Linked DNA regions of Drosophila melanogaster. The protein of the gene in region 1 interacts with the protein of each later gene in a pairwise test. Each region holds a gene or a part of one and is shown in the gene's direction. Other genes may lie near its edges.

The links. The genes of interacting proteins can lie anywhere in the genome.
Region 2: the proteins of eIF4E3 (region 1) and mxt interact in a two-hybrid assay, tested with the Drosophila melanogaster proteins (2 studies listed by BioGRID).
Region 3: the proteins of eIF4E3 (region 1) and eIF4G1 interact in a two-hybrid assay, tested with the Drosophila melanogaster proteins (one study listed by BioGRID).

Annotation. Positions count from the first base shown.
Region 1 is NT_037436.4:8,226,671-8,232,462, forward strand, and holds eIF4E3 (eukaryotic translation initiation factor 4E3), read left to right. Parts: upstream 1-2,553; 5' UTR 2,554-2,711; coding exon 2,712-2,763; intron 2,764-2,828; coding exon 2,829-3,087; intron 3,088-3,153; coding exon 3,154-3,228; intron 3,229-3,282; coding exon 3,283-3,382; intron 3,383-3,445; coding exon 3,446-3,533; intron 3,534-3,590; coding exon 3,591-3,751; 3' UTR 3,752-3,898; downstream 3,899-5,792. Other genes in the region: CG7213 (uncharacterized protein), read right to left, coding at 5,294-5,486.
Region 2 is NT_033779.5:4,840,905-4,850,326, reverse strand, and holds mxt (mextli), read left to right. Parts: upstream 1-3,031; 5' UTR 3,032-3,088; exon of another isoform or gene 3,089-3,163; intron 3,164-3,562; exon of another isoform or gene 3,563-3,611; intron 3,612-3,976; exon of another isoform or gene 3,977-4,048; intron 4,049-4,110; 5' UTR 4,111-4,283; coding exon 4,284-4,685; intron 4,686-4,751; coding exon 4,752-5,073; intron 5,074-5,168; coding exon 5,169-5,240; intron 5,241-5,554; coding exon 5,555-5,615; intron 5,616-5,680; coding exon 5,681-6,158; intron 6,159-6,215; coding exon 6,216-6,609; intron 6,610-6,668; coding exon 6,669-7,267; 3' UTR 7,268-7,743; downstream 7,744-9,422. Other genes in the region: mRpS2 (mitochondrial ribosomal protein S2), read left to right, coding at 46-815; CG11927 (uncharacterized protein), read right to left, coding at 1,003-2,472; CG12194 (uncharacterized protein), read right to left, coding at 9,134-9,191, 9,344-9,422. UniProt on the Drosophila melanogaster protein: Plays a role in promoting translation.
Region 3 is NC_004353.4:926,537-933,579, reverse strand, and holds the start of eIF4G1 (eukaryotic translation initiation factor 4G1), read left to right. Parts: upstream 1-2,864; 5' UTR 2,865-3,068; exon of another isoform or gene 3,069-3,298; intron 3,299-3,448; 5' UTR 3,449-3,500; intron 3,501-3,556; 5' UTR 3,557-3,680; coding exon 3,681-3,758; intron 3,759-5,428; coding exon 5,429-6,187; intron 6,188-6,918; coding exon 6,919-7,043.

The DNA of each region.
Region 1 (5,792 bases):
TAATCAATATATTAATCAAATATATTAATATTTCATATTATATTGATCAAATATAATATTTAAAAAATAAAATAAAAATTACATGTTCAATAATATTTACATCCAACCATAATAAATAGATAGCACAACACATTATCAAATTTTAAAAATAATAATTTAATGATTTATAATACAATTGGGTCAAATGTAAAGAAATTATTCTGTCAAACAAACATGAAAATGATTTGGCATAATAATCAATAACTATTTTCTAGAGCCACTAAAATTTTCACTTCTAGTGTGGCAATACTTAAGCCTCGTACACCTGTATCTTTTTGTCCAGGTGAGAGGGCCAAACGACAACTGGGGGCGTGGCAGCTGAAGCAAATGGGCCAGATGGAGCAGACGGACTGGGGGCTGCCGGAAGCTGCTGTCAGTTGGCTTGGCCTTAAGGTGCTGGATGTGCAGGATGTGTTGTCGCTACCCATCCCCGACACTTACCACTGCTTTTTATTGTTTTATGTGGCTGTCTTTGCCCGCAGTGGATGGGGCGGAGAAGCGGGAGTGGAGGAGAGCATCTCCTCCGCTTGCCACTTCAAGGTGCAAAATGTACGACGTGCGTCGTTCCGTACATCATCGCATGCTTTGTGCTTTCAGCACTGAAATCTTTTACAATCAACATGAAGCAGCAGCAAAGCAATTTTGTAGCCAAAAAAAAAAAACAAATAAAAAAAAAGAAGAAAAGACAGCCGAACGGAAGCGAAACGAGAAATGGCGGGGTAAAACCGGAGCGAACATAATGCCTCAAATCATTTTCATTTCTTGCATGCGCTTGTCTGCACAGAACTGCCTCAAGATGAGGTCCTAGCTCTTGGATACTTGAGTCCTTGGATCCTTGGCTTCTTCTTGTAGTTTGCCCCATTTACGCGCTTTTCCCCTTCGTTTTCCCCGGCAGTTTGTGGGCGTTTTTACTGCTTCGGCACTCAAATCGCTTAAGCTGGTGCGGGAGCCATCCCCCCATAGACTCCCTCAACATTACAATATTTTAAAAGATTTACTGACCATGTATTTTCAGCTCAGCCAGCAAAGTGCAAAAAGCTGTAAAATATTGCGTATACGCCAAAGTGCCACCTGAGAAGAGCGGAGCACAAAGTCAAATCTAACAAAGCATAGCTAAGCGTTTGCCGGCAACTTAACTCGAATGGGGGAGAAGCCCCAAAAAAAGAGTTGGAACTAAAGTTTTCCCTCTCGGGAATTTATGGGCTACCAACTCCATTTGGAGCAGGTAATTTTTAGTTATGGGATTCAAGGAATAAACAGGCATGTCAAAAAATATAAATATTAAAAACCAGCAGTAGCTGAAAAAGTTTTATCTATTGTTTAAGTGAAGAGAGGAAGGGAATAACGTGCGATACGAGCTTATAAAATGTACTTTAAGTTAAGATAGTCTAGATATTAAAACACTTTCTAAAATTTTACAATTCCTTGTTTTAACTTATTCTCCCAATTAACGAAACAAATTTGGAGCAGTTTTTTCCTCAAAAAATCCCAGAAATACGAGCTGGAGCAGCCGCCAAAGCTGCTTAAAAGCAAAAATAAATAGAATTTTTAAGTAAATTGGGGCTGGCAACTTATTTGGCTGCGAGAACCAAGAACAAGGAGCAGTGCCAACACTTTTGTTCCAAACTTGGCCGGCATAACTCACCCGTGCATCCAGCAGATGGAGATGGAAACGGAGATGGAGCTGGTGCGGAGCATCTTGGTTGGAGTGCAAGTTGGTGCCACCGCACCACCAGCCGCGCAACAAATGGTGCACATTACAAGGGCCCAAAGCTACTTTGCCAACGCCAAAGGAGCTGCCACGTAGCGACTCACATATTTTATTATCTGCACCGCCGCCAGGGGCGTGGTGATGGGTTCGGGCAGGGGTGAGGTGTGGGGCTTTGCCAAAGGACTCCGGCACGGAGGGACCCAGGACCTTGTGTGTGCAACAAGGCGCACAACTTAAGCGGCGAAGACAAATTTTTATTGCCACAAGCCCAAGTCGATTTCGATTATTGACTGCAGGCCAAACTGTTGCACAAGGAGCAGCCAGAGCAGACAAGAAAGGGGGATTCCTCTACTCGCTCCAGTTCCATTCCCAATCGTATCCGTCTTTCCGGCTGCCAACTTTGTGTGGCCGTGTCTGTGTCTGTGGTTGCTGTCGTCGTCGCTCATTTGAGTCACATTTTATTATTTTCGTGCATTTATCGTATGCTCGGTGGCATTTTATTTTATTAGCGTGACATTTCAATTGATAGACCCTCGGGCTCGTACTTAACCGACTCAATTTGATTTTGCAACCAAAATGTGCGAATGGGAGCTGCAATATCGGAGTGTTTGAATGGGGTGCTTAAGACTTGGATACAAGATTTATTGATGAAATAATGGCAGGATGTACCATAAAATATTTTAAATAATAAAGGCGATAAAGGGATAGAGTCTTTTGAAAATAAGCATATTACGCAACGAGATGGTCACATGACTTTTCCAATACTTTTTCATAACCAAGGTGGCAACGCTTTAGCTGTCATATCTTGATTTGTCAAAGTGTGCACTCATGTTAAGCCATTTTCATTAACGCTTATACTTTGCACGAGACATATACCATTTCAAGGAGTTTTTTTTAGTAAAATAAAACGAGAAAACTAACAAAAAAAGGTTCGTTTATCGCATTGAATCAATAAAAAACAATGGTGTACACCGGTTACGTAAGCAACGGATTGCAGAATGCTGAGGAAACTGGTAAGCTGACAGCAGATCTTTTTTTTTACGATTCATCATTCGATATGCGAATCGAATATATTTAGCATGGGTGCCGTATGGAGATCCCAATGACTGGTCACATGGTCTGGCAGTTTATGATGGTTTGGAACTGATGAGCGGCAATGAGGAGGAGTTGCAGCCCTCATTGAACCGGGTGATGAAAAACATCGACTACGACCTGGCCATGAAGCATCCATTGGAGCATACCTGGACTTTGTGGCACTTGGAGAACGATCGTACCAAGCGCTGGGCCGAAATGCTCGTCGATGTGACCAGCTTCAACACCGTTGAGGACTTCTTCAGGTCAGACACAGATTCATATATATATATATATATCCTATATATATATATCCTATTCTATTTCGACAGTGTGTACTACTTTGTGAAGCCGCCATCGGATCTGAAGATATTCAATGACTACATGGTCTTCAAGAAAAATATTCGGTGAGTTCTGAAAGTCTGCTCTTTGAACCTCGTCTTATGTATATAAATATTTAGTCCCATGTGGGAGGATGACACCAATAAGAACGGTGGTCGTTGGATACTGCTCCTGGACAAGGCCTCCAGGACCTATATAGATAAGATGTGGCACGATTTGGTAAGCCACATGATTGCACCATAATTATAAGCTCAATGCATTATAAAGCATTATCTCCTTTAGCTTTTGTGCATGATTGGCGAGTGCTTCCAGCACTCGGACGAGATATGTGGAGTGGTCATCAATGTGCGCAACAAGGCTAATAAGCTATGTGGGTATAAGACAGCATTTCACATTGGGGTATCTCTAAGGTCAACTTTCTTTACAGCCCTTTGGACGAAGGACTCTCGCAATGTAGAGGCTATCCTGTCCATTGGCAGGCAGATAAAGGAGCTGCTGCATCTGGGCATTATGGAAATCCAGTACCAGGTGCACAAGGATGCCATGGTGAACCATGGACCCAATGTCAATGCCATCTACACATTGTAGGCCAATTTCCAAGGGCGCCATAGTACATTTCCAACGATAGTACATAAGCCTTATACATTTGTCAAACTCACATTTTATCCCACGCGCACCAATGCTTTTCGAGATAGATATCGGTTGTACCATGAATAAAGTATTGCGTAGAGCAGTAGAAACAGTAACTACTTTCTGGCCACGATTCGTGTGCCGGTATCCCGAGGCTACTATAGTCGCCTCACGTATTCCCCGGCGGAGTGGGAAACACATACTCGCTTCACTACGATTATCCTTGGCGTCATAATTTTGGGTGACTCTGCCCATCCTTTAACGGCTGCCATCGCGCGCCAAGTGCTTATTCCTTCCTATGTGTGTGCGTCGTCCTTTCAGGGCTTTTGTCTTCCGTGCTGCTGCGCATAGCAAATTGTGACCAATTTATGGAAATATGCTCGGGAAGCGCAATATCCTCCATTTCCAGGGAAGTGCTGCTAGTGCTCCTAGCAGGTTTTTCATTCTATATTCCAAATATATATATATTCCATATTCCAAAAACTAATATTTCAGATAGTATTGCCGGTATTCCTGGAAATCTCAGCACCTATGATATGTATAATATTTCTGCTCACATACTAAATGATATTTGAAAGTGCAAAATATTCAGACCCTGAATTGTCATCACTGATGCCCATGTAAGTCGTATGATTTGATTGCTGTAATTTGTAAGGATTTTGCTTTTATTGTTTTATTGAATTATGAAGTGGCAGCCACCAAATGACTGGAACGTGATACACTGCACATGGGGTTATGTCAGTGCCAATGGCAGCGTATCTCCGACATCCTGTCCAACCTCCCGGCGATGTCACCCTCTTTCTTCTCCCTACCCGCCGCCGGACGAATCCTGCTTGATATGAACGGGATTCCTTGGCGCAGATGAATGCATGCAGTTATTCGGACCGTAATGTGAATTGATATGCCAACACGTACGCGGATTTGGAGGAGCAACTGATGCGGAGGACAGGTAACAGGTAACAACCTGGGATAGGGCAAATAGCTTACGCCCCGTGCCAAGCACTTAAAGAGCAATTTAATAACCGCTATAAAAGGTTTTCTCTCTTCGCCAAAGAAACAAAAGCCAGCCAGGGGGGATTCCCCTTCCTTTGGCAACGGCAAAAGCAAATAGAGGATAACTGGACAAACACAAACAGAGAATATCCGGCAAAGGGCAGCACTAATGTTGCAGACTTCTCTCCTATATTAAATGAAATGCAAGCTTAATTGAAAAACGCTGACTTGGCTGCACTGTAAAAAAAAAAATGTTATAGATAAAGCACGATCAACTTGATATGTACATTCTTCGCCCAACAATAATATTATTTATATAAAATATTTAAAATATAAATAAAAATCTTCGATGAGTATCAGAGTTCCAAATAACTATGTAGCATATATTTGAATATTTTTCAGTGTTTTTATTTTCGGATTTTCTTTGCCATCCTCCTGTTGCTGCAATGAGAACTACGTAGCCTGTTGCAATTTTAATTAAACAAAAAGCGTAAAATGTTTGACCATTTACACTGTGCCGTCCTGTTGGTCCGGATTCGACTTCTTTGGGACAGAGCTGCGTTCTCCCAATCGTCTTTGGCACGTAAATTTCCTTTGCCAACGAGCACGAAATTGTTTGGCCCTCCGCTGGTGTCCTGTCCGCTGGTGTCCTGTGTCCTCGACGCCCGAGTCCTGTTGTTGTCCTCGTGTCCTTTTTGCGCTGCAAAACAAATTAATTGTCTGTTTTTCACATAAACTTTTGTCGGTCTCCAGTTGCCGCTTAGCTCACAGCTCCCGGAGCTCCTTATACCTCCAGTTGGAGGTCCTGCGGTTGTCCTGCCCGTCGCGTCTTTCCAATTTTCAGTTCGCTGTTTGTTGCGTAAATTGCGGCCGATCTGTTTGTAATGGTCAAACTCCCACAATTTCGCCCAACGTGCGCCACTCGAATTTCACTTGGCCATCGCTTAGCTCATTTGCTGCACATCACTTTTGGCGTTGGGGGTTTCGTTTTCGTTCTTGTCATAAT
Region 2 (9,422 bases), on another chromosome or scaffold:
TTAAAACATCAAGGAAACCAAATTATACATGCTTTCCCTTGGTAGTACCCCGCTTTGGTCAGATGTGCGGTCTGCCACGACGCCTGCAGAGCACACAGCCGGAGCAATCGGTGGAAACGGAACCGGAGGACATCGCCCTGGTGGAACAGCGGATTCTGAAGCATCCGGACTACTTCCAAGTGCACAACCTGTTCACCGTGCGCGACCTCTTCAATGCCCGAGTGCACTATGGCCACAAGGAGGGCTCCCTGGACGACCGAATGCGTCCGTACTTGTTCGGCAGTCGATTAGGTCATCTGATCTTCGATCTGGACAAGACGGCATCACATCTGCGCGATGCCCTCAACTTTGCCGCACACATTGCCTTCCGAGATGGCATCATTCTGTTCTTCAACCGCAACGCCATGAACTCACATCTCGTGGAGCGAAAGGCCCAGGAGGCCGGTGAATTCTCGCACACTCGCTTTTGGCGCGGCGGCATCTTTACCAATGCCAATGTGCAATTCGATGCGGTCACCAGGCTGCCCGATCTTTGCATTTTCCTCAACACTCAAAACAACGTTATGGCTCAGCACACGGCGGTTCGGGACGCCGCCAAAATGGCCATACCAACGATTGGCATAGTGGACAGCAATTGCAATCCCAACCTGATCACCTATCCGGTGCCCGGCAACGATGACTCGCCGGCCGCAGTGGAGCTCTATTGCAACCTCTTCAAGGAAGCCATACTGCGTGGCAAGCGGGAACGACGCCAACTCCTTGGCCTTCCGCCTCTGGACGAATCCCAGCCGCGGCGCAGTCGCAAAACTAAGTAATAGCCAAGTAGTAGTGTCAAGTTGATTTTGTTACATTTATCTTAATACAAATGCCAATGGCCGTCAATCCACGATGAAGAAGAAATTGCTAAATATGGTTGCAAAATTGCAGAACTTTGTGCATGTGCCATGCTATTTGATAGTGTTTAAGAAAACCCACGACCTGGGTTAGTTTCGGATAGCTATTCTAGGGCGGCAGCAGAGTGGCACCCTTGACAAAGTTGTTGCTGTAGTGGCTGAAATACGAGGGATTGGAGTTGGACCCCGTGTTGTTGGAACTTCCAGAGGGCCAGTAGTTGGTAATCTGTGGTGGGGTGTCAGGTGGCGGCGGAGGCGGCGCTGAGGTACCAATGATGGAGAGATCCGTACCGCCTTTGATGGCACGGCCGGGACCGAAGAACGTATCCATTTGCTGCTTCTTGAAATCATGCATCGACGCAAAACCATTCGGCGGCCTCTCCTTGGACATGTCCCACGAGCCGATGCTGGATGACTTGCGCACGAACACTTGGCCCTTTTCATTCTTGTCCTGCTCCACCCAGCGCTCTGCATGCTTCACCGTCAGCATCGCCTTGTGCGCAACTATATACTCCTCGGCCTTCTGTAGTCGTTCCAGTTGCTGCTCGTCCAGCTGGTCGCGCGGCAGCTTCCCCAAACGCTGCACCGTTCGCTTCCAGTTGTGGAACTCACGGTTTTTAAAGGGCTTCATGGCCATACGGTACTCCTTCCACTGGCGCTGGCGCTCCTCCTTCGTACCAGGCGGTGCATCCTCGAGCGGCGGTGGTGCCTCTGGCTTCTGTATCCATTGGCCATTGACCTGGACAAATGTGCCGCAGCGCTTGGGCTTCTTGGAGGGCTGCGCTTCCCCGTTTGACGGCGAATTGTTGCCATTGCTTGGCGGTGGGGGCGGAGGCATAAGCCTCGTATCTTTGTCACTGTTGCCGCGATGGTTTACCTTGAATTTCTTGTTATTCTGGTTTGGATTGCTGCGATTGTTTTGTGCTCCCTGCTCCTTGGGTACCAGATTCCACAAGCTGGGGCACTTGGGCATGGGCGGTTGGATTGGTGGTGGTCTATGTTGTGGCGACATCATGTCCTCCCAGAACGGAGGCGGCTGCAGAGGTCGGTGATTGTGATTCCGGCGGGGCCCAGAACCACGTGGTCCTCCAAAGCCCACTGGACCACCGGGGCCCATACTGCTCATGGGACCACAGGGACCCATATTGCTTATGGGACCGCGAGGTCCTCCTGGTCCCATTGGCCCCATGGGGGGACCGCATTGTCCGGGTCCAGGCCCAAAATTGCCTCCAAAGCCCATGTTCATCAGCTGCATAGGAAGTGGAGGCGGTCGATTCATCGGAGGATAGTTCCTGTCCTGGTAGCTTTGCGGACCTCCGCCTCCATGAAAGGCATTGTTGCTATTCGAAGACCAATGTTTACGTCCGTTGCCGTTGTTGTTATTGTTGTTGTTGTTACTATTGTTATTGTTGCTCCGTTGTAGTCCGCTTTTGGTATCCGGTTTCAGTGCATCCTTGCATTTCTTCCAATCTGCAAACGACATTTTCAGCGGCTTAGTTTCAGGCTCATCTTTGCCGGACTCCGGAACGACTTCCTTGGAATCCTCTGGTGCCGCCTCCACGTCCCCGTTTTCAGACATCTCGCACCTTAGAGAGTGGGAATACACTTTATAAATATATCAACTTAATTTTATTTGAGTTTTGCTTAGCGATGGCAAACAAAAATTTCAATAACAACAAATTGAAGGAACAGCCGATGTTTTCTATCGATATTTTCGTGCTTAAAATTTTAGGGAGTTTCCCCTGAAGTATTTTCTTAAGAGTCCTGTTGTTCTTAAAAAAGAACAGTAGTTTCCAAATGTATTCTCTAAACTTTCCGCTATACCAGTAAATCTTCATTTGTTAACTAGTAAGCGATATATTAATGCCCAACGTAATATAATATATATTTAACATTTTCGATCCCATGCAGACACAACCGGCGGGGAATAGTAATTGCCCAGCGTCCAGATACCATAGTGAATTGTTGGTTATCAGCGATAAGTGTCTGATTTCGTAACATTTATTTCATATTTAAATTTAAATTTTAATACGAACACATCTGTGATGCGAAATTGATGTGAGCTTTTTGACTGCGCTTTACGTGAACTGGTCTGGATAGCTGTGGCGCATCTCTAAAATCTAACGTGTTCGATCAGGTGGCAACACCCACCGTAAAAAACGATTTTAGTCGCAGTCGCAGAGATTTTGGTTTTGGTAAGCTCTAGTAATTTATTGGAAATTACGATCCAAAATACACCGTTTTAAGAGACGTTTCAATCGGCCATTAAAGTAAATAATAAGCGCGACGAAGACTAAACATCAAAAGTGTTGAAACTAGAACGAGAGTGCAAAGTCGGTCGCCAGCAAAACGCGTAGTTTGCTTATTTTAACGAAAAGCGGCCAGTGCCATTAAAATATTACTCAATTTCACAGAGAATTTTGGCCGAAAACGGATGCAATATATGGATATATAGACCCTGTTTCCTGAAAGTTAACTTCCTTTTTGTTCTACGCCCAACACGGTCGTCAACTGCGCTGCCATCGTCGACGTCGGCAGAGGCCATTCTTGTTGTTGCTATTCTCGACATATGATTCAATAGAGCGATCGCCTCTCTCTTTCTCCCTCCCACGGACAATTTCAGTTTTTTGTAATATTTCTGTTAGCTGTGTTTTAGTTGCCCATGTTTGTTTGTTCTTGTTGTTGTTGCTGCTGCTGCTGTTGCTGCAGCGGCAGTAAGTGATATTTAAAAAAGAAATGAGTTGTTCGCATGGAGCGAAAGTCGAACTGAAATAACACAAATGGTCGTCCGTTTGTCGTTCCCATTCGATATATGCCAACAATTTTCATCAATTATTTACATATTTTGCTTTTGGAACTTCGCACCGATTAACTGAGCAGAAGCCAGAAGCTCAGAAGGCGCCAATGGGTTAATTTGGCCACTAAACTATAGATAAATCGCGGTGTTATCAGCTAAAGCCGCTTATCAAACGTGCACATCGTTAAGATATACGAGAGCTTTGCGTCGCAATATTCGAGATTCGGTCGGAAACGAGGCCAATCTCCATATCCTAAGAAACCTTTTGGTTGTCCATGCTCTCGGCCATTACTCCCAAGTTCTAATGCAATATAGTCGGCTTTGATCATCCTAGCAGCTGAAAGCATGTATCCAAATAGTACAATAGTTTTAATGTAAACAATACATTTGATCGATAACTAACCTTTCTTGTGTTTACAGGGGGAGGTGCGGAAACAGCTTCTACGATTCATTTTTGATCAATTCTTCAACAACATTTAAACGAACGAATAAGTTAGCAGACCATATAGACTGAAATCAGCAGATCCGGACACCAGGCGGGACAACCTTAAGACTTCTTCACGAGACGATATCGAATCCAACGAATCCCGAGAATGGCTCACACACACCTGGGACGCGCCGTGAAAAACATTGAGGCGCCACGCCCGTTGAAGACACAATCGCGATCGTCGTTGAAGAACAGCTACCTGGTGATCGAGGAGCTAATCCAGTTGATAGACAACGTGACCGTCGGTCTTCAGTCGTGCAACACCACGCCGGAATCGATCACGCTGCTCCTGCACAACCTCCGGGTGCATGGACCGCAACTGGAGGCGGTGTCCAAGGATACACTGGACCGGGCCTTCGTCGTTTTCCGCAACGCTTCGCAGGACGAACGGCTGAATATAACGACGCGCCTCAAGCTGCTCGAACTCATCGAGCTGCGCGCCAAGAGCTGGGACAATGACGACACAATCGCGTACTACAAGTCCAAGCAGCAGATCTCCAACGTGGAGGTGAGTAGAGTACATAGAATCGATCTCACTTTGGAAAACGATCAAATATGTATCGTTGCTTTGCAGCTGCCTTCGGAATACCAGTACGATGCCGGCGTGCAGCCTGGCGCCTTCAGCACCTCCCCCACATTCGGCGTCAGCGGCGGTGTTGGTGGCGTTAACGATGGAGCCGCAGCCGCCGCTGCCGCCGTCTTCAATGCAGCATCTGCAGCTGCAGCCGCCCAAGCTGCGGCCATTGCGGCCGTGGGCACATCCAACCAGCAGCACATGCTGCTGCCGCCCGGTGAGGTCATTCGTAATTCGGGCAAGTTCCCCAAACCGACCAAGATTCCTGGCAAGACGTACTGCAAGGACGAGGTCGTGATTCGCAATGCTGACTCCGGCAAAGGTAAGTTTTTCAATCAGCTGAGGAGTGTTCTGGAGCACACAGATCTACAGAAATGGTTTTCAATAATGTATTCCTCCATTCCCGTGGCCAAAAAGTAATGGGCATCAAGGGGCGTCGCGTGCACATGATCGAGGAGCTAAGCGAAACCATTATATCGTTTCAAAGAGGTAACTCCAGAGAGCTGGTTTTAATTGTGATCCTCACCGCACCCCCATTTCATTTGGCACGCTTATTTAAATCAATTAATGCCCGGTGGCTTCTACAAAATTTACTAATAGAAATTATAAATACGCATGTTCCAGATTTTGTCCATTCAACGACACCACATTAAGCCAAAATTGATCGTTAAAGGCATTTTGAAATCACATATTTTCATACTGTATATATGCATTTTGTTTTTAAATGTTTTCGCATCCCAATTATTTTTCATAAATATAAATGCTTTTTTCGAGAACAATTATGAATGCCTTGTTTTCATTAGTCAACCCGGGTGCCAAGGAGCGTTTGGTGCAGATTACTGGTCCAGCTGAGGATAAAATTAAGTGAGTAAAGTAAATAAATTAAAGCTAATTTACCTTTATGTCAAAATGTTTTAATTCTACGACAGCTATGCCAAACAACTTATGGAGGACACCATTCGTCGGAACGCCTCGCCGGTGCGCCTGGAACCCGCTCCTGCCGTTGGAGGATCCTGCTCCTCGCTTAACTCGTCCAACTCGGACGACGCCATTGTGCAACCAAGAACGCCAACCGGAAGCAGTTTGGCCAACCGGCTAAGCTTTAACTCGGCCCAAAACTTCATGACCGCCACAGCTGCTGCACAGCAGATCTCGCAGCAGATGCACCACCAAACGCATCACCTGCAGCACCAACAGCAGCAGCAGGTCGCCGCAGTAGCCGCCGCAGCAGCAGCGGCGGCACATGCTCAGGCGACAGCCGCTGCCGGTAAAGTCTTGCGTCCCAATCAACAGCTGCTAATGCACTCATATTCCACAAACGATGCTTCCGTAGGTGAATACAAGTTCACGGTCAACGTGGGCCAGCACCTGATCAAGATCACCGGCGACTGCTGCGAACTAGTGCGCGTGAGTAATGTTGAAGTTTTCAATTGTGAAATTTGTTAAATCCCCTGCGATTTCAAGGTGGCCAAACTCGTGCTCGATGACTATTTTAGCAGCTCGGAGTTTCTGGCATCCATTGAGGCTGGCGCCGCCTTCGACGGCACTTCGCTGGTGACCACGCCATCGACTCCGCTTCCCGGAGCCGGGCCGCCGCAATTTTGGCTGCCCGGCACGGACAGTGGCATTGGACTGAATTGCGTTGTTTCCTCGTCAGCGAACAACAATGGTGAAGGCGACGACGAGGTGTTCGCTGAGCCCAGCAATGGAGGATCATCGACTAGCAATCAGAATGGACTGGCCAGATCGCGTCGCAGCCACTTTTCGCGCAAGGAGTCCACGCCGGAGACCAAGGGCGCTCGGGAAAAGGGTGACTTGGACGATTTGGCAGGCACCAATTCCTTGAAAAGCAATGCATGTAAGATTACAATCCTTTTATGCTTAACCAAGTCTTTGATGCTTAAACTTAAATTACAGCTCGCGTTTCTTACGATATTGAACACTTGCTCTACTACTCCATGAGTCCGCACTCGTGGACCCTGCCCACCGACTGGCAAAAGATGCAGGAGACAGCGCCCTCGATTCTGCGCAACAAGGTAATTTCGCCGTTCGATGGCTCACTTGGCCGTACGGCTTACTCTTCGAACATCCCCGATGCTATCATCGCCAGTGCACCTAACTCATCAGTAATAACACATCCGTGGGCTTTAAATGCAATAACCTCCTCCCCGAACACAAATATCATCAGCACCGCCGTTGGACTAGCTGCTGTCGATGCGTCGGCAGACAACAATCCCCTAACCGTCACTAACAAGCAATCAAAAGGGATCTTCGCCGAACGCGAGAACCGTCGCCTTCCCAAAACATCGGCCGTGTCCGATCGAAACCTGTATAACAAGCAATTGCAAATCATAACTAATACTGTGGGTCAATCGGTGGCAACACAAGGAAAGCATCGCCAGTCTAGCTATCAAACATCACAAGTGAAGGCAATTTTTCAACGCTACTGCGAGGACGATGAGTTTTCATTGGCACTGTGCGAAACAGAATCGAATAATAACCGCGTTTATGTGTAATTTCATTTAATTTCATTTAATTTAATTTAATTTTACGTAGCCGGAATACGTATTATTGAATCTCAGTCACAGATAGGCTTTTCTTTTCATGTCAGTATTTTTGCTGTTTTAATTTTATATAACTTATCATTAAGAAAAGGTGAAGCGTGAAGAACTTGATAATGAATCAAGTCAATACATCATTATCATTATCATCATCCAGTCATTAGATTAACGACATACCATCGAAACCAAACCGATCGCTAGTCTTAGAGGTAACAATACATATAATGCATTGAAATTAAAATGTAACTATAGGGAGAATCTGTGTTTTGGCTGTGAAACAGATTAAGTCGTCGCTAAGGATAAGCTGGAAAGGCGGTTGAAACCGCTTAACCGCTAACAAACAAACATTCTCGAATTCAAACCAACATTTACAAATCTGTAATCAATACGATTTATATTAACTAATAAACAGGACTTTCAAAGTCCGTAACAAAGCTTGGCTGGGTTTAACTTACACCACCACACACCCCACACATTGTAAATTATAAATTGTAACTTGTGTTTTACCACCGAAGCATCATAACATCACCACCTAACCACCACTCCAGATGGCTAACTTAGTTACTAAACTGTTCCGTATGTATATATGTTCGTTCATCCCTGGATAGCTTGCGTGTCAATGTTACTTTGAAATCAGATATTAAACCATTTCTTTGTTCGACAACAGGATCTGCAGGATGAGAGCCAGCGCTTCGATGGTGATAAGTATCTGGCCAGCATTAAGACGGCCGCCAAGCGAGACATTGTGGCTGCCGATGAGGTCGAGACTCTGGACGAATAAAGCCATCAATCGAGCGGCTCGAACTGACAATATAGAGTGTCCCGGGGTGAAGTGCCTGCTCCCAGACGGAGCTGCAGTATGCTTCAATGCTTTTGGCCATGGCCACATCTAACAATCGCAAACTCAAAACGACCAAAACAAAACAAACAAAAAAAAAAGAATATTGAAAAATATGCAAACTAACCCTAGAAATTACCAACGAAATAATCAAAAATTTCAAAATAACTAGAAAATTCAACGAAGCTCTTAGTTAAGTTCAATCGAAATGGGAATCCGGAATATTCCCAATATATACTAATTCAAAAAATGCAGCTAAATGAAAAGCCTCGAAGCGGCCCTAACTTGATAATATGGCCCAAATGAAATGGAATGCATTTTTAGTAACTCAATAGAGAATGACACGTTTTTAGTTGGAAATTTGTTTCTCATCCTTACGCAAACTTTGTTTCTCCCAACCAAATAATTCTCAAAACGGAAATGGAAATGTATTAATTCATCTATGTGTTTTATTATTATTATTTTGTAATTCTCTTGTGACTTGCGCTGAATGTCACTTTTCAAGATTTGAAATTGTATTTTGTTTTCTCTAGTCTATGCATCATAGAAATTTGTATACTATTTTGTTAAATTCACACCAAATTCTTTGAATTTCTGTTTATGCTTTAGTTAATTTATTTTATTTATTTTGTACAAATACAAATCATATATTCTTCAAAAAGATATTTGCAAGGAAATAAAATGGAATCAAGATCAAAACACACCTTCTTTCGCCCAAAACTCCAAATCTTTGGTTATTTAATTTGGTTAATGTACATTTACATAAATTTATTTATCACACACAATGGAACATAAATATAACAATAGTTTAAAGTTTGATATGTATCATCATAGAACGTTGGCTAGGAGGAGTAAAATAGATCGAATGACCACGTCGATTGTGCGGCTAGCAGAATGTGCTCCGAGTTGCATAACAAGTCAAGTGTAGTGGAAATGGCATTAGCATCGCAATTGGTTATTGGTTAGTAACAAACAGAATCGATCTATTGCACATAGTTGCCCAATAAAGGCCGCCTGTTCATGTGGCGGCACTGCATCGCGCTTTTGGCATGTACACAAAGCAAATATACATTTAGAAAAAGAACGTTAATTAGTCAGGGGCTGAAGTGGAGAAGTGTCATCATCGGATATGGGATTAGAACACAACAGCAAGACATCAATAGCATGCTCAACTCGACTCAATATTCACGTACATCGAGGTGTGGTATGTGGCCCGCTGGGCAGGTGACATGTTCAAGTTGCCCTGGTGCTTGCGGTTGTAGGCCCAAATCG
Region 3 (7,043 bases), on another chromosome or scaffold:
AGAAATCCAATTTAGATCCTGAATGGCAGTACGCAACAAGTCCTCTTTAAAAATACTTTATCTTGTATTCTCCGAGTCACATCCGGTGTCCCACAAAGGAGCCATCTTGGCCCGCTTCTTTTTACCTTATTCATTAACGACCTTTTCTTAATAATAAAACATTCGCGTGTACCTATGTACGCAGTCGATGGTAAATTATGCCTTCAGCACAAGGACACTTCGTGCCATTTGGACTTACAATCCGATCTAGACAGATTTCGAATATGGTGCCGTGATAACGTATTAGACTTAAATGGCTCCAAGTGTAACGTTATGACTTACGCTCTAAGTGGGCACCCACCCAAAGAGCACTCTTTGGAGAGAATAACACGGGTTGATGATCTTGGTGGTCTTCTGGACCCTAAACTAAAATTTTCTGACCATATTTCGTCTATTGTCAATAAGGCCAGGGGTGTGCATGGTTTTATAAAAAGGTGGTCTAAGGAATTTGATGATCCTTAATTGACTAAAACCTTATTTATTTCGTTAGTCCGTCCGATTCTCGAGTACGGATCACTATCACCTGTTTGGAGTCCACAATACGCAGTCCACTCGGACCGCATTGAATCGGTCCAAAAAAACTTATTACGTTTTGCTTGCGGCGCCTAAAGTGGGATGCAAACCGTATATTACCTCCTTATTCCAGTACACTACGTTAATTTAATTTACCGTCCCTAGCTAACCGTAGAACCAAAGACACTAGAATAACAAGATGCGTAACGCCATACGATTTTTTGGCACACGATTTTTTCGCCGTGGCTCTAGAGGTGGCTCCAGGCTCTCTCGAATTTTTGTTAGAGAGCGAGAGAGCGGAGAGTGCTACAGCGAACAGCTCTTTTCATCGCATAAAGTGATAGCAGACAACTGTATGTGTGCACACGTATGCTCGCTCATGCATTGTAAATTTCACAAAATATGCCCTTCACCTTAGAAGTTCTTTGACTTTAAATCTATATTATTTTTGATCAATTGGCACCATGCGAAAAATTCTTGTTTTGCATTGCCTTAACGTTATTATTATATGAAAATAGATTAGAAATAGCCAAATCTATGTACATATTATCACAAAAATAAATTTCAAAAATGACTTTATATAAGAATATTTGTCATTAGAGTATTCATCTTGCGGCGTGTGAAAAATTAATAAGGCAATGATTGTTGAGTGCTTGTGTCCGTACTTCGTGCTTCAAGATATGAACAAAGCAAAGACACTAGAATAATTCTAGTGTCTTTGATATGACTTTTGCAATAAACAGTTATCATATTTAATTATTTACTATATTTATTATGTCATTTGACTTTATATGATGTAACATTAACATTAAAAGTGTTTAAAAAAAAAAATATTTCGCTTTCTTAAAAAATTGTCAGATGAGAGACAAATTAGAATTAAACATAAATATAAATGTGTAAACGGTAGCTAATTCGAGCGGCGATTTTAACAAACAAATTTAAAAAGCTTTAAAATGATAATAGTCAGTTAAAAATTATTTTATTTTATCATATTGCTACGAAATTGGCAAAAACTACCCTAATATGTACAATGTAAATTCGTTTTTTCGATCAGAATTGATTTCGGTCCGAAAATCGTCTTCTAGCACAACACGCACACATATATGCGTTCTCGTCTCTTGTTTTTACTCACACAAGCAAGCAAATTCTATTTTTAGATTTCTTATGCTCTCAGCGGGAGCGAGCGGAAAGAGAGCAATTTTGGCCGTCACTAAAAAATTGGCTGCATAGTGCCAAACCAATGTATGGCCGCTACGCATCTTGTTATTCTAGTGTCTTTGGTAGAACTATGCTTGGAACAGTCTTTATTTGTAAGCTTATTCGTGGGGATGTTAAGAGTTCTGACTTGATTAGTCGGCTTAACTTCTCAGTTCGAAGTAGTTCTCAGTAGTAGTTCTCAGTTCCTTATTTCAGTTCTCAGTTCCTTATTTTAAATCATTGTAGATCTAACTATGAGTTGCGTGACCCTTACAGAGTATTATGTTCTGATTATAATAGACTTTATCCTAATATCTGTAATCTTGACTCTCTGCCGCTCACAAAGCAATTGATTTTACCTTTTTTTATTTTATGATTAGATCCTACTAACAGTAATATTTAATATAGTTATTTTATATTATATTCATTTCCTCGATCCTGTTCTCTTTTTTATATCGCGTCTATCCTCTCGCTAATCGAGGCGTACGATACACGGCAGCGCCCCTCGTTCGGTTGGTCGGGAGGTGTCGCCGTTGGACCCGTGCCAAAAAAAAAAAATATATAATAATAATATAAAATAATTGGGTCTGAATACGGATTATTTTTGTTTTGATTTAAATTCTTTTATTTATCGATATTTTGATGTAATATAGAATCGTTTTTTACCAATTTCTTTATTGTCATATGTATTTTAGTCAGTGTGAAAGGGTCTTATTTTGGCCATAATTAACTAATTATATTTTACGTTCAAGAAACCCTAATTACGATGAAATTAACATTTTGTTTTAAAGTTGCCCATATGTTGTATTCTTAGATATAATGATCTATTTAGCCATGTTGCGGAAAGGGCTCATTATCAGGAATTGAACGCTGGCATAGCATGTACAATCATTATTATAATTTTGGCAAACCTCAATAGAATAAACGTATTATGAAGTAGTTTTAGTAAATAATTAACATTGAAATATGATTTTTTTTTTATTTTTAAAAACTTATGGTTAGCAAAAAATTAAATTATTAATGATGAAGCGTTTAAAAATGTGACCTAACTATCGTTGATAATGATATTCTTCAGTTATCACTATTTCTTGTGTGCTATCGATGTTTCAAATAATAAATGCAACTCTGTTCGTATGAACAGAACACATTGCATGTGGAAATTATTAAAAAATAGTTTTTGAATGTAAAGATAAAGCTGGAATTACTGCTTCATTTTTATAAATAAATACATTTTTAAAATACACTTAAAGTGGAATTCTTAACATTTGTATTTTTTGTACATAATCACGTCGGATAGGCACATACAAACATTTGCTCAGGTAAATTGATGGTTAATAATGAGCACTGGGCAACAAATATTACATGATACTTTGCAAGTTTACTGTGCACAGTGAAGGGAAAAAAGATTTTACCACTAACATTCTGAAATGTGTCTTAACTTTTTAAAAATGATGTAAACGATGGAATTCGTGGCACGTTTTCACCATATGCACCATTGTGATTGTGAGAACGAAATCTCCAAAGTCACAACGGCAACGTCGGCAAATAAGTAAGGCTCCAGGATGGATTGGCAAATGTTTAATAGAAATTATCTCTGGGCTTCAGCTCTAGACTTAATAAATTACAAAATGTCTACTTTATATTTTTGAAACATTTGGGTGAAATCTTTTGTGATATTTAATGATTTTATACGTGTCAGTTCTTTTAATTTCAGAGACCTCTCTGGTAGCTGTATATCAATATATTTCCAGGTAAAATATGCAGAACTGAAACGTGGACAATTAATATTCATTAATATTCATTAAAGAATCAAATGATTGAATGACGTCGTATTTGTGGGTCCAAAATCACCACAGAAATCGTCTATGAAACGGTAAATCTAACCGTTTGGCGATTTCCTACAGAGCTAACTCTAGGAATACACATACGTAATGCAACAGGCTATACCAACTTTACCAACACAATCAGATATAGATAAAGCCATGCAGCCCCATTCAGCACAAAATATGGTAAGTCGATATAAAAATAACATCTCCAAAATTATTTACATATATACATTTTGACATTATTTGCTGTATTACTTTCCTTGCAATTGTTTTAAATTAGTTCGTTAAATAAATATGTTTTCCTAGTTCCGAAAAGAGCTAAAACCTATTTTTTATAAGTTTGCCTGCTGTAGTCAATGTAAACAATCTATTAAGATAGTATCACACTTCTCGTACAATAACAGCAAAGTTTAAAAAGAAAATGCTATTTTTGTGGAATTTTTTTATATGTTTGTTTTATAAATATTGCGGTTTGTATAAAAGGTATATAATTCAATTAAAAAATTTATAAAATATATGTTTGCGATTACAATTATTTAAGTTACTTACTAAATGAATTAAAAAATTAAAAATTTTTTTAACGAACTTGATTGAATACTAATAATTGTTCTAGTCCTGTAAAGCTACATAATTCATAAATGAAGCTCTTCCGGGCATGGTATGAAGTACTTTATTTAAAACCTAAACTATAAAAAACCGCGTTTTTCCAAACATACATAAATCATATAGTTTTTATCGGTAAAAATATTAATTAAAAAAATTTTTATTTCAACGGTGGCTCCAAAAATGGATGCTGAATCTGGTTTGTTGGTAACTGGCAGACACTCAGCAACGTAATTTTAAAGCTAAACTCAAAACGCATTGTGATTAATCTATCCAAGGGAAAAAAAATATTCGAAATGTATTTTATTATATTGATTTAAAGGATTAATGATTTCACATATCCAAGTCACAGAATCAGTCCATATATAATAGTCCCTAATATAATAGTTTCGTTGTTTTTATTCATAAAATGTCAACTTGATATTGTATTTTATAGTGATGTCCTTTTGAAGGGCTTAATGATATAAGGCATATATTTAAATCGCAGTAAAAGAGATATTTGGGACCATATAAATTATATATATATTCTTTATCAGTATCAGCAGCCGAGTAAAATAAATATAAAATAGTCCAGAAGATAATAGCTTCATACTTTTTATTTCTGAATGACAACTTGATATACACCGTTTTTTGACCGCGTATAACTTTGGTTTTAAGGCTAATTGTCAACATGCCGGCGACGACTAAGGAGCAACAGTCGGAAAATTAAATGAAGCTATAACAAAATAAATAATAGTTTAATTGTTTTTAATCATTTAGTGTTCTTATTTTGTACGCACAACTTTTTTTTTATTAATTAATTAATCTTGTAATCTATCATTTGAACTGTGTTAGACAGCTAAATCCCATAAACATTATTTGTCCATAGGGGACGTAGGACAAAAACTCTAAACCCTAATAAAATTATCAAACCCAATGCATGTTTTATATATATTTGTTAATTCTGGATTTATTTATCACAAAATTTGAGGCTGAAAAGTATTAAAAAATCTGCATAAGTATAATATTCAAATTTCACAGTGCAGAAGTGTAATACTACTCAAAATTCCGATTCTTGATTTCTCAGTTTCATTTTATTTTTAAATGGGTTTGTTTTGGTTTTTTTAATACTTTGTTTAAGTGCAATAAAGTAGGATTAACCAATTATCTAATAGTTTTTATAACTTATATATTCGGCAACATTTTTTTTTAATCATTGTTAAATCAATTTTACAGTCCGAAAATGTTCCCACTCTTGTGATCTGTTGTAGATTTTGCCAGCCAATAAAAAGACCAAAAAGTATGATCAACAGGTGCCAACTTCAAAGCCACAATCTCTTCATCAGCCTCTTCAACCGCAGCATAGCCATCCCACTGCTCAGCCTCAGTTTCAGATAAATAAGGCATACAATGTGGTCTCCATTCTTAAGGCATCAGCGCAGATCGCTCAACAGTCCCCACACTTGACGAATCAGCAGCATCCACCAATCCATCACCCACAGCAAACACAGCAGCATCAACAAAGCTATACAAACGTTGTAAATAGAAGCTTATCTGCGTCTGAACCAGTTAGAGCCCAGTCATCGGTTATCTGTAACGGTTCAAGCATATTGACAGTAAATAGTAGACAACTGAATTCGGGTGATATGAATTCGACTGCCATTTATAACATATCCAGTTACCGAAAATTAACTGGAAGTCTAGATGGAAATGTTTGCTTTCTAAATGTACAGGACATTAAACAAAATGGCAACATCAGTGGGTCAGTAGTATCAAATAAGTCCATCGTCGGAGTCGGAAGTGAAAAAAGTTCTTGTACTGGAGTCAGTATTAACAACCAAATAGTATTGCCTAATGCGCAAATAGGAACATCTATGGGAATAGCTGGAACAACTACAGCAGGCACAAGCTACATGCACGAAAAGAATATCGTTGGCGTTAGCGTCAATTGTGTTAATACTAGTAAAAAGTATGATTTCAATAACAGTAGTTTGTTATCAAATAATAGTTACCCGGCATCTACAGCAGAGGTAAACCTTGCAAATTCTGTGACTTTAGGAAGAGATTCATTTTAAATAATTCTTAACTTCATTTCACCTCCCTTTTTTTTAATAATTAGTTTTTAAATACTTTAGGTCCCAAAATTTATTAAATATCAATACGATTTTTTATTTAATGAGCAGTTTTTCTTATAATGTGAATATATGTATACTTTTATATTGTACTCACAGTGCCTAATGTAATGTAAAGAAACCAAGAAACCCGCTATAGTCGAGTTCCTTGACTAGCTAGTTGGAGGCGAAAAAAATGGGGAAGAAAAAATATAGAAATACAAATCATTTAAACATTTTGGAAGATTGGGGGCAGCCTTTTGCGCTTTAAGGGCGTTAGGACATGCCGATATAAATTGGCAAGACAAATCACCAAATAACCAACGGATTCTGCTTGCGTGATCTCAACTTTCTGACACAATTCCCAAAATCGTTACGTTCATAAGGCTAGATCGACTCGGCTAGTGAGGCTAATAATATATATATATATATATATATATATATACTCTATAGGGTCTGAAACGCTGCATTCTAACTGCTACTTTTCAAAGAATTTAGTATAACCTTTTCCTCTACTAGTATATATTAAATATTTATTCTGATTATTTAAGTTTTACATTCTTCACTGCATTATCTTTATAATAATAATAATAATAATACAATCCATTTCTTTCTCTTACTGATTATTAAATTCTTTTAAATACTTTCAGTATGTATCAACGGGAAACAACAATTCTGGGAATACCCGTTCTAATCCACAAAGTGGCGGAATATTTCGAGGACCACCCTCGACGCCTAATGCCCCTAGAGGTGCTAGTGGCGGAGCAACACGGCA